Caenorhabditis elegans: one gene and its partner. The protein of the gene in region 2 purifies or fractionates together with the protein of the main gene of each other region. This does not show direct contact. Each region holds a gene or a part of one and is shown on either strand. Other genes may lie near its edges.

Region 1 (5,622 bases), on a different chromosome or scaffold from region 2:
AAAGAGTACTGTAGTTTCAAATTTTCATCAATTTTTCGGGGTTTTCGAATTTTTTTTTTTTAATTTCGAAAATGGATGAAATACTGCGATTTTTGAGCAATTTTTAACCCAAAAAGTGCAAAGTTGTGCATTTTTCAGCTCATTTTAAAGTTTTTTTAAATTTATTTTAATTCAAAAAAAAATTGTAGAAAAAACTTCAAAATTAGCTGAATTTTATTGCAAATTTTATCGATTTTTTTTATTTTTCAGAAATTTTTTTAAATCGAAAAACTGTGAAAAATTCGAAACTACAGTAGTCTTTAAAGGCGCATACCTTTTCGCATTTAACAAAAATTCCCGTCGCGTCGAGACCCAGAATGTCGTTTTTTTCGAAATATTTAGGTTCCTAAACCGGATTTTTTGGTTTTTTCTCAAAATTAAAATTTTTCAAAAAATAAAATGAGACATGCGTTTATTCTTCTCTGGAATTTTTGATTTTAAGATTTTTTGTTACTAAAAAAGAGGGGGGGGGGGGTCACAAAAAACAAAAAAAAACTGTATAAATTATCATTTTCTATAATAAAGAGCTGGGGGTGCGGGGTGATATGAGATTTTTTTTGCATTTCATTTCAGAAGCTATATAATAAATAGTGAGCAACTTTTGTTGTTGATTTCACACTGGTGTCGATTTTAAGGACAAAAAAGAGCTATGTATTCTAGTGAGTGGGAGCTGGTGTGTGTGGATAAAGTGAGTGAAAAAATGGCGCCGGGACGAAAAAAATAAGAAAAAAAAAATAGTTTTTAAAAGGGGAGCAGTGTGAAAAAATGGGGACTTTTGCTTTAAAATAATCGAAAAATAGGCAAAAAATTTTTTAAAAAAAGTGAAAAATACGTCAACCAATCAGCGATTCGCTCCGCCCATCATTCAACCAATCAGAACGCGTGGGCGGAGTTCGAAGACGCTGATTGGTCGGGGAGTTCACATTTTGGCGGGAATTATAAATTTTTCGCATTTTTTCAAAATTTCGGAATATTTGCTTTGAAAATTTTCAAAAAATCACCAAAAAAAACGAGATTTTCTGCGACCAATCAGCGATTCGCTCCGCCCATCATTCAACCAATCAGAACAGGTGGGCGGAGTTCGAAGGCGGGAATTCAAAAATTACGAGTTTAAAGTTATATTTTTCGCCATTTTTTTTTAATTTCCGAATGTTTTGCTATAAAAAAATTCAAAAAAAACAGCGACCAATCAGCGCTTCGCTACGCCCAGTTTTGGACCAATGATTGGTCCGAAAGTGGGTGGAGCGAATCGCTGATTGGTCGAAAGTCTCATTTTGGCGGGAAATTCAAAAAAAGCGGTTTTTAAGTAGAGTTTTTGATTTTTCGTGATTTTTCTTTTTTTTTCAAATTTAACATAATTTTAGAAATTTTTAAGCAAAATTCCCAAAATTCACACTACTCAAATAATCACACAGTTCATCATGGGGCAGGTGGATGGGTGGGAGGAAGCGAGAGAGAGAGAGAGAGAGAGAGAGAGAATTAGAGAAATAAGAGCGATGAAAAAAATCGGAAAAAGACTAGAATTTGAGCCCAAACACGGCCCGGTGGTCCATTTATCCATTCATTCCACGAACTTGTCCACTCTTCCTTTGCTCTTCGAGCTCTTTCTGGGCTTTTGCCTCGATTTCTCGAATATCGACCATTGTAAGGCCGTGCCATTTATCGATCCAGCAGAATACTTCCCGATGGAATTTCGAGAACAGGCGAGGGTATTGCTGAAAAATTTGGGATTTTTTTGGAGAAAAAATGGAAAAAAGCTGAATTTTCTAGAAAAAAAAACCTATTTTTCTGGGAAAGTAATGGAAAAATCCGAGATTTTTTGGCGAAAAAACCGTTTTTTTAAAGGAAAATAATGGAAAAATTATTTTTTTTTTTGGAAAAATCTGAAATAAATCTGATTTTTGAACATTTTCACGTGAATCTCAACAAAAATGTCCATTTTTCAGGTAGATTACTGGGTTAACAAAAAAAAACATTTTCGAAAATTTTACTTTATAGGATTTTATACAAAATTGCGCAGTTTTCCAGCTTTTTTTAAAATTAAAATTCAATTTTTTCGCACTTTTTGAAATTTTTATTAAATTAAGCAATGTTTTGGTTTATTTTTTTTATTTTTCATTTATAAAAATTTTCAGCGAAAAAGATGGAAAAAAATTTTTACGAAAATTGTGCATTTTTCAGCTCGATTTCTACATTTTTCGTATGCAATTTTTCGAAAACTTCTTTTTTTTTGCGGTTTTTTAAAGAAAATTTCTCCAATTTCAAGCTAATTTTTGAGATTTTTTAAATAAATTTATTAATTTATCGGGTAAAAATCCACTTTTTTGAAAATTTCCACGAGCATTTATGCGAAATTTTTCCATTTTTTCAGCTCGGTTTTCAGTTTTTTTCCGGAATTGTTCGAAATTTTGCTCGAAAATTGAAGAATGGCTGTGTAAAACCTCTTCCACTTAAATTAGAGGTTTTCTAGGTTTTCCTTTTGACTTTTTGGCAATTTTCGCGGTTTTTTCACATTCAAATTGGCAGTTTGTTAGGTTTTTAGGTGAAAACTTTATTTATCAGATTTTATTTATTTAATTTTATTTACATTTATCAGATTTTAAGTGAAAATTGTTGATTTTCACCTAAGAACCCTATAAATTGTCAATTTGAGTATGAAAAAACCACGAAAATCGAAAATTTCAGTTTTAAACTTTGAAATTCTTCTCCTCGGGGAGTACACGATCTGCGTAAATCGACATAGGGTTATTCTACAAATTTCAAACAAAAAAAAGCTCGTTTTTTGAGCATTTTCGCCCATTTTGTCGATCCACGAAATCCTCTCGTAATCTCACCGTATGCGCGTAGTTTTCGACAATTTTCTGGAATCCAAACCACTTGAAATAGACTGTAACAAGCTTGTAGGCACACATTACAGGCTGTACACTATCCTTCCAATTTCCAGATAAAGGACCGCTGAAATTTCAGATTTTTTTAATTTAAAAACTGAAAAATCTCAAGGTTTTTCCCGTACCGCCCGGTTTTTGTGCTCTGAAATTTGGATGGAGTGGAGTCTGGATGCAAATCTCCGGAATTCAAATACTCGTGATCATTTGCAATATTAATATTGACAACTTCTCGTTTCGCCAGCTCATCGCCCTTCAAACCGTGCGCATTTTCGGTCGTTCCGTTGTCCGGCAAGTGGATTGTCTCAATTTTCACATAGAAATTCTCTTTCATATAGTCTGGATTCGTGACAACCGTCTTACAGTACGGATAGGCATTCCATGCTTCTTCGTGGATAGCCAGAGAACCTTTTGGCGCGATTTTTCGCAAAATTGCCGGGACTTTCCTGAAAAAATTGATTTTTTTTCCAATTTTTTTCGCAGAATTAAAGAAGAAAATCCTACGATTGAAGATGATAAATCTTATGAGTATATTGTCCTTTCGTGAATTGTCCATTGAGCAGTGGAACATTGTCAAATGGCTCATTTTTGAGCACTTCCACACCTTCACCGCCACCCGTTTCGGCTTTTGAGGCCTCGGCCACAGACCAGAGCTGGCCTACTTGGTACTCTTCGACGGACATTGGAAGCACAACTCGGCTGAAAAAAAATTTTTTTTTTTGAAAATCTGGAAAAAATCCAATTTTTTTGGGAAAATCTGGAAAAATACGATTTTTTTTTTGAAAAAATCTGGAAAAAATCCGATTGTTTTGGGAAAAGAATGGAAAAAATCTGGAACAAATCCGATTTTAATGGAAAAATCTGGAACAAATCCGATTTTAATGGAAAAATCTGGAACAAATCCGATTTTAATGGAAAAATCTGGAAAAATACGATTTTTTTGAAAAAATCTGGAAAAAATCCGATTCTTCCGGGAAAAATCTTGAAAAAATCCGATTTTTTTGGGAAAAGAATGGAGAAATCCGATTTTTTTTTGTTGGAAAATCTGGAAAAAAACCGATTTTTTCCAGGAAAAATCAAAATTTTCGTTAAAAATAAAAAAATCACTTACTACTCCTTGATAATCATTCTTGCGAGTGTCGAATGAGGAGGAAACCACCTGAAAACTAAATTTTTTATGCTAGTTGCCATGGAAACAGCTTTACGGAAGATTAATGGGTGGAGAGCATGCGAAAATCGATTTTATTTTTGCATTTTGGAAGGTATTCGAGAAAAAGAAGAAAATTATTGCGAAATTTCGTAATTTGAAGGAAATTCACAAAGATTTTAACGATTTTTAGCGGGAAATTGAAAATTTTTGGATTTAAAAATAAAAAATTGATCGAAAAGTTAAAGGCGCACGGAGTTCCAATTGCCGATGGGTCTCGCAGCGAACTACAAAAGTTTGATAAATTTTTGAATTTTTTAAAGTTTTTTAGTAAAATTAAGTTGATTTTACCAATATTTAATATATTTTCTAACGTTTTTAAATAGAAAATGACAATATTAAATCGGAATTGGAAATTTTAACGGCGTCTCTCATGAAAAATACAAAATTCTCCCAAACAATGCGAAATCGTAGAATTATTAGTCATCATGAATAGAGAGAGAGAGAGAGGTGTTGCGAAATTTTTCTCATTTTGAAATTTCTTGAGGGAAAAATGGAAAAATCACTCAATTTTCCGTGGGAAAAGCGAAAAAAACGAATTTGAGAAGGGCAGTAATCGAAGGCGCATATAGTTTGAAGAGACTCGGGTCTCGCAGCGATCTACAGAAATTGTAATTAATTTTCAAGTTTTTAAACTTTTAAACAAATTTAAGCTATTTCTAGGTGGTTTTAAATGAAATTCTAACGATTTAATATTGAAAACTTGATTTCGAAGTGAAAATTAAGATTATTTTTAATTTCCGATTGGAATTCCGAGAGAAAAGCGAGCATAATACACGAAAAATCTTGAAATGGTTTTTAAAGGTGCATGGTCTTTGAATTGGCTCGGGTCTCGCGACGATCTACAAAAGTGTGATGAATATTTAATTTTATTGAATTTAAAATGAGTTTTCAGAAGGTTTTAACGATTTTCCGACCAATTTTCAGTGCAAAAACTGCAAAAAATGACGTGTTAAGGTCCATACACCCGCAAAAAACATAAAAACAAAGCGGAAAAAAGAAAAAAAAAAGACAGACGAAATAGATGAAGCAATAAGCGCAGCAACGAGGAGAAAATCGAATGCTTTCTGTGTTTCTGTCTCACTTGCCGACTCACTAGGCACGCGAAATGCGCAAGCATTCCTCTCGGTGACTTCGTATACTCTCTTCTCGATTAACAGCAGGGTTCGAGCCTTTCTTGGAAGAAAAAGAGGAAGAAATATTCGTTTTTTTTTCCTTTCTTTTAACGTTTTTGGAAGAAGGAAGACGGAAAAAAGATGGAAAATAGTATTAAAAATGGCCTTCCCCAAAAAAAAGAGGGCGGCGCGGCGAAAAATCGATAACACCCGGGACGGGGGGAAAACGGAGGAGAAAAAAGAGCTGGAGCAGAAACTAAATATGTCATGTTTGTGGAGTAGCGTGTGCGCTGTCAAGTTGAGAGAGAGAGGCTATATAAAGTAAAAAGTAACGACTATGGAGAGGAGCGAAATGGGTTGGAAAAACAAGTGACGG
Region 2 (3,270 bases):
TTCAAAATGCACGAAAATTCTTAAAATTCGACTACTGTTTCAATCTACTTATATTATTGGAAAGAACGTAGCGCGAGTGATAGTTTCGCTTTTAAATTAAGAAACTCAAATTATTCCAATTTCTGAGCTTTAAAAGTTTCCAACGCACAATTTTAAAATGCACTACAAAAAGAAAACTTACGGTATACTCGGAAGCGTTCAGATTAGAAAATCCACCAAGAACTTGACAATTCATTCCATCAAGAACAGCAAAAAGAAGTGCGATAGAAAGAATAAAACGCATTTTTGTCTCAAAGTATATCAACATTCGTTTGCTTTTATAGGAGTGAGAGGGAGTGCGTGATGAACAGGACACAGCAAAAGATCAAGGGTTTGATTCAAAAAAAAATCGATCATCGCAACAGGTATGACTCATTGTCTTCCCATGGACAATTGATTTTCAACGGAATATAATGATATAATTTCAAAAAATATTTTCTTCAGATGTATATTAGGGTTTTAGCTGGAAAGAAAAGTACGTAACGCAGCAACTATTTTCAAAAACCAAAGTTCTTTATTAGCAATTTTTTAAAATAGTACAGAAAGCAAGAATACATTCACCAGATTTAATTTAAATTTTTTCATCAGGTTTCACACCTCTGATTTTTTCAGCCTTAGTTTGCTTGAAGTTTTCCCATGGTTTCTCCCAAATGGACACTTTGTAAAGTTCACGCTTGCCACCAGACTTCAATGGACAATTTGCAGCAGTGACTTGAGAAGCTTGAACTGATCCTTGTCTCGGACAAGTTGACTCTCCAACAAGAACTTCCAAAACTGTATTGGTTCCGGCAACAACTTGAACTTGAGCTTTAACAACCTAAATAAGAGTGTTATAAAAGCGCAAAGTATTATTTTTTGAACAGCATTTTTTGCCTCTGAGGAGTAAACCTACCTTAATTGGAACCATGTAGTTTTGTCCATTATTCTTACTGTTTATTTCCGGCACCGAATTCCAAGCTGCTCCCTGAAAACTCATAACTAAAAGTGCATATATATTTTAAATTGAAAATTACGGTAACCAAAATCTTTTTTCGAAATATGAATTTTTTCACTGTTTCACAGTTTACATTTGTGCACAAAATTTTTAAATGATACTGTTCAACCAGTAGACATTTATTAAAATTTTGCGCGAAGTGCCAATTAGTTTTGAATAGCAGTTTTGAAATTAAAACTCTTAATTTTAATTTGTTTTATAAGCATTTTGAGTCGTAATTGAATTTTTCAAAGCGCTAAATTTTTATTCCAGTTTTTTTTGTTTAAAAAAATGAATTTATCGAATATTGAAAGAAATTAAAATTATAGTAAACCGGACTAAGTATCCTAAGAGTAAGTATCAACTATAGTTTTAAAAAATATAAGAAATCTTCACAAAATGAGCATTTTCTCAACAAAAAGCCTAAGTAAAACTTACAGTATACTCAGAGGCATTCACATCAGACAATCCACCAGCAATTTGGCAATTTATTCCGTCAAGAACAGCGAAAACAAGTGCGATAAGAAGAATGAAACGCATTTTTATTTTTGTCACAAAATATGTCAACATTCGTTTGCTTTTATAAGAGTCAGTTGGTGAGTGATAAGAGCGAGACAGCTAAAGATCAACAATTTGATTGAAAAAAGAGAAAGAATCGATCATTGCAACAGCTATGACTCATTATCTTCCTTTGGAAAGTTTGTTTACAACTGAATATGATGATATCATTTCATAAATTATTTTCGACTTTTGCATGTTCTGTTTTTCTGGAAAAAAGTGCCGCTTCAGGAATTCTTGCAGAGTTTTTTTGCACCTGAAAGCAATGATAGAAATTCCAGAGCTTCTGAAAATGAAGTAACAAGGCATGAGTTCAAAACTACGTTTTAGTTCAAAAAATATTTACAAAATTTTGTATAAATAATTTACTGTTTCACATTCAAGTTAAGTGAACTTGTTTTAAATGAAGGGCTGTTCCAATCTTTCAGAACTGAAGAACTTTATTTTTAGAAAAGCGAATTTTACCTTCACATGATTTTATAAAGCCACACGATGTTTTCCGTGTGGATCTTGCCACGATCTTAGTCAACACATAATAATCATTTACTATATATAAAGCGCGTGTCCTTCTGTCCCTATGTAGTTTGATCTCTGATCAGAGCGACGAAATTTTGGGAAACCTTATGCTAAATGCGCAGCAGACATCGATCGAGGTCCGCGATAGACACCGTATATCTAATGTGTTTTCTCAAAAAAGTCGGGGGCCGCGCCGTAGGTGCGGTCCACGGCTGGTAATTAATAATTTATTACGCTCTCTGGGAGACGTGAAAGAATACAATAGTTATCAAGGTTTGCGTGATTGGGGCAGCCGGGCAGTCGTTTCCATTCCATTAAAATGTTGTCTGTCGGCCACCCGGGTCAAAAACATCCCGCATTGGTTAATTAGCTACGGAAGTTTAATATCATGAAGTTTCATATCGTCAAAGAAAGACAGAATTCACAGTCATTGTTAAAACACCATAGTTTCCTCAAAGCGATCGTACCGTATTACGGGAACAAGAAATCATGAGAACGCGTACTTGGTGCTTTTATTTGACCCGGGATATCTCTTAGCGAAAACTACAGTAAGAACTCAAATAACAATAAATATTTAAGCTCTTACTGTAGTTTTCGCTAAGAGATATCGCGCGTCAAATAAAATGCACCAAGTACGCATTATCATGCTTTATTGTTCCCGTAATATACATATCTTAATCACTTACAGTACAATCGCGGCGAGATTTAAAAGTAAAGACTAAAATCAAAAGTTCTACCGAAACTGTATCAAAATAACAGCATGTGATCGGAAAAAAGTATTGTTTTAATAAAACATGCGCTTTGTATGTGACTTTTTTCAATTAGCAAGAAAAGATAATGAAATAAAAATCAACAATACCTTACGAATTAGGCTGCATTTTGGGTCGGAGAGATTTTGTGTAAATTTACGGCGCGTTGCGTGTGGCTTCGCGGCTCGTTTTTAGTTACAACTAGTTGTAAAACTGATGTATTTGTCCGTGTGGAGTACACACACAACTCATCTCCACGCGTAGAAAAATCGGATGTTCAAACGAAAGTTCGTTTGAACATCCGATTTTTCACAATAATTACCGAAAACTACGGTCGACAATGAGAAAATTCAAAATGTACGCAAACACCGCCACGTTAAAATGCACAAAATTTTCAAATTGAAAAATATTTTAAATTTTACTTCTCGATTTTCA

Evidence for each region. Proteins that work in one complex are often made in the same cells at the same time.
Region 1: the proteins of cpi-1 (region 2) and Y54F10AR.1 fractionate together in Caenorhabditis elegans (co-fractionation; one large-scale study listed by BioGRID). This does not show direct contact.

Annotation. Positions count from the first base shown.
Region 1 is NC_003281.10:2,571,634-2,577,255, forward strand, and holds Y54F10AR.1 (Phosphatidylinositol transfer protein N-terminal domain-containing protein), read right to left. Parts: upstream 4,053-5,622; coding exon 4,036-4,052; intron 3,624-4,035; coding exon 3,429-3,623; intron 3,371-3,428; coding exon 3,053-3,370; intron 2,995-3,052; coding exon 2,874-2,994; intron 1,755-2,873; coding exon 1,593-1,754; 3' UTR 525-1,592; downstream 1-524.
Region 2 is NC_003282.8:6,092,066-6,095,335, forward strand, and holds cpi-1 (Cystatin cpi-1), read right to left. Parts: upstream 1,568-3,270; 5' UTR 1,553-1,567; coding exon 1,451-1,552; intron 1,159-1,450; exon of another isoform or gene 1,137-1,158; intron 1,004-1,136; coding exon 932-1,003; intron 857-931; coding exon 611-856; 3' UTR 538-610; downstream 1-537. Other genes in the region: K08B4.7 (Cystatin), read right to left, coding at 182-283. UniProt on the Caenorhabditis elegans protein: Cysteine protease inhibitor which inhibits members of the peptidase C1 family. Does not inhibit asparaginyl endopeptidase. May play a protective role against exogenous cysteine proteases derived from soil bacteria or fungi, or rotting fruits and vegetation.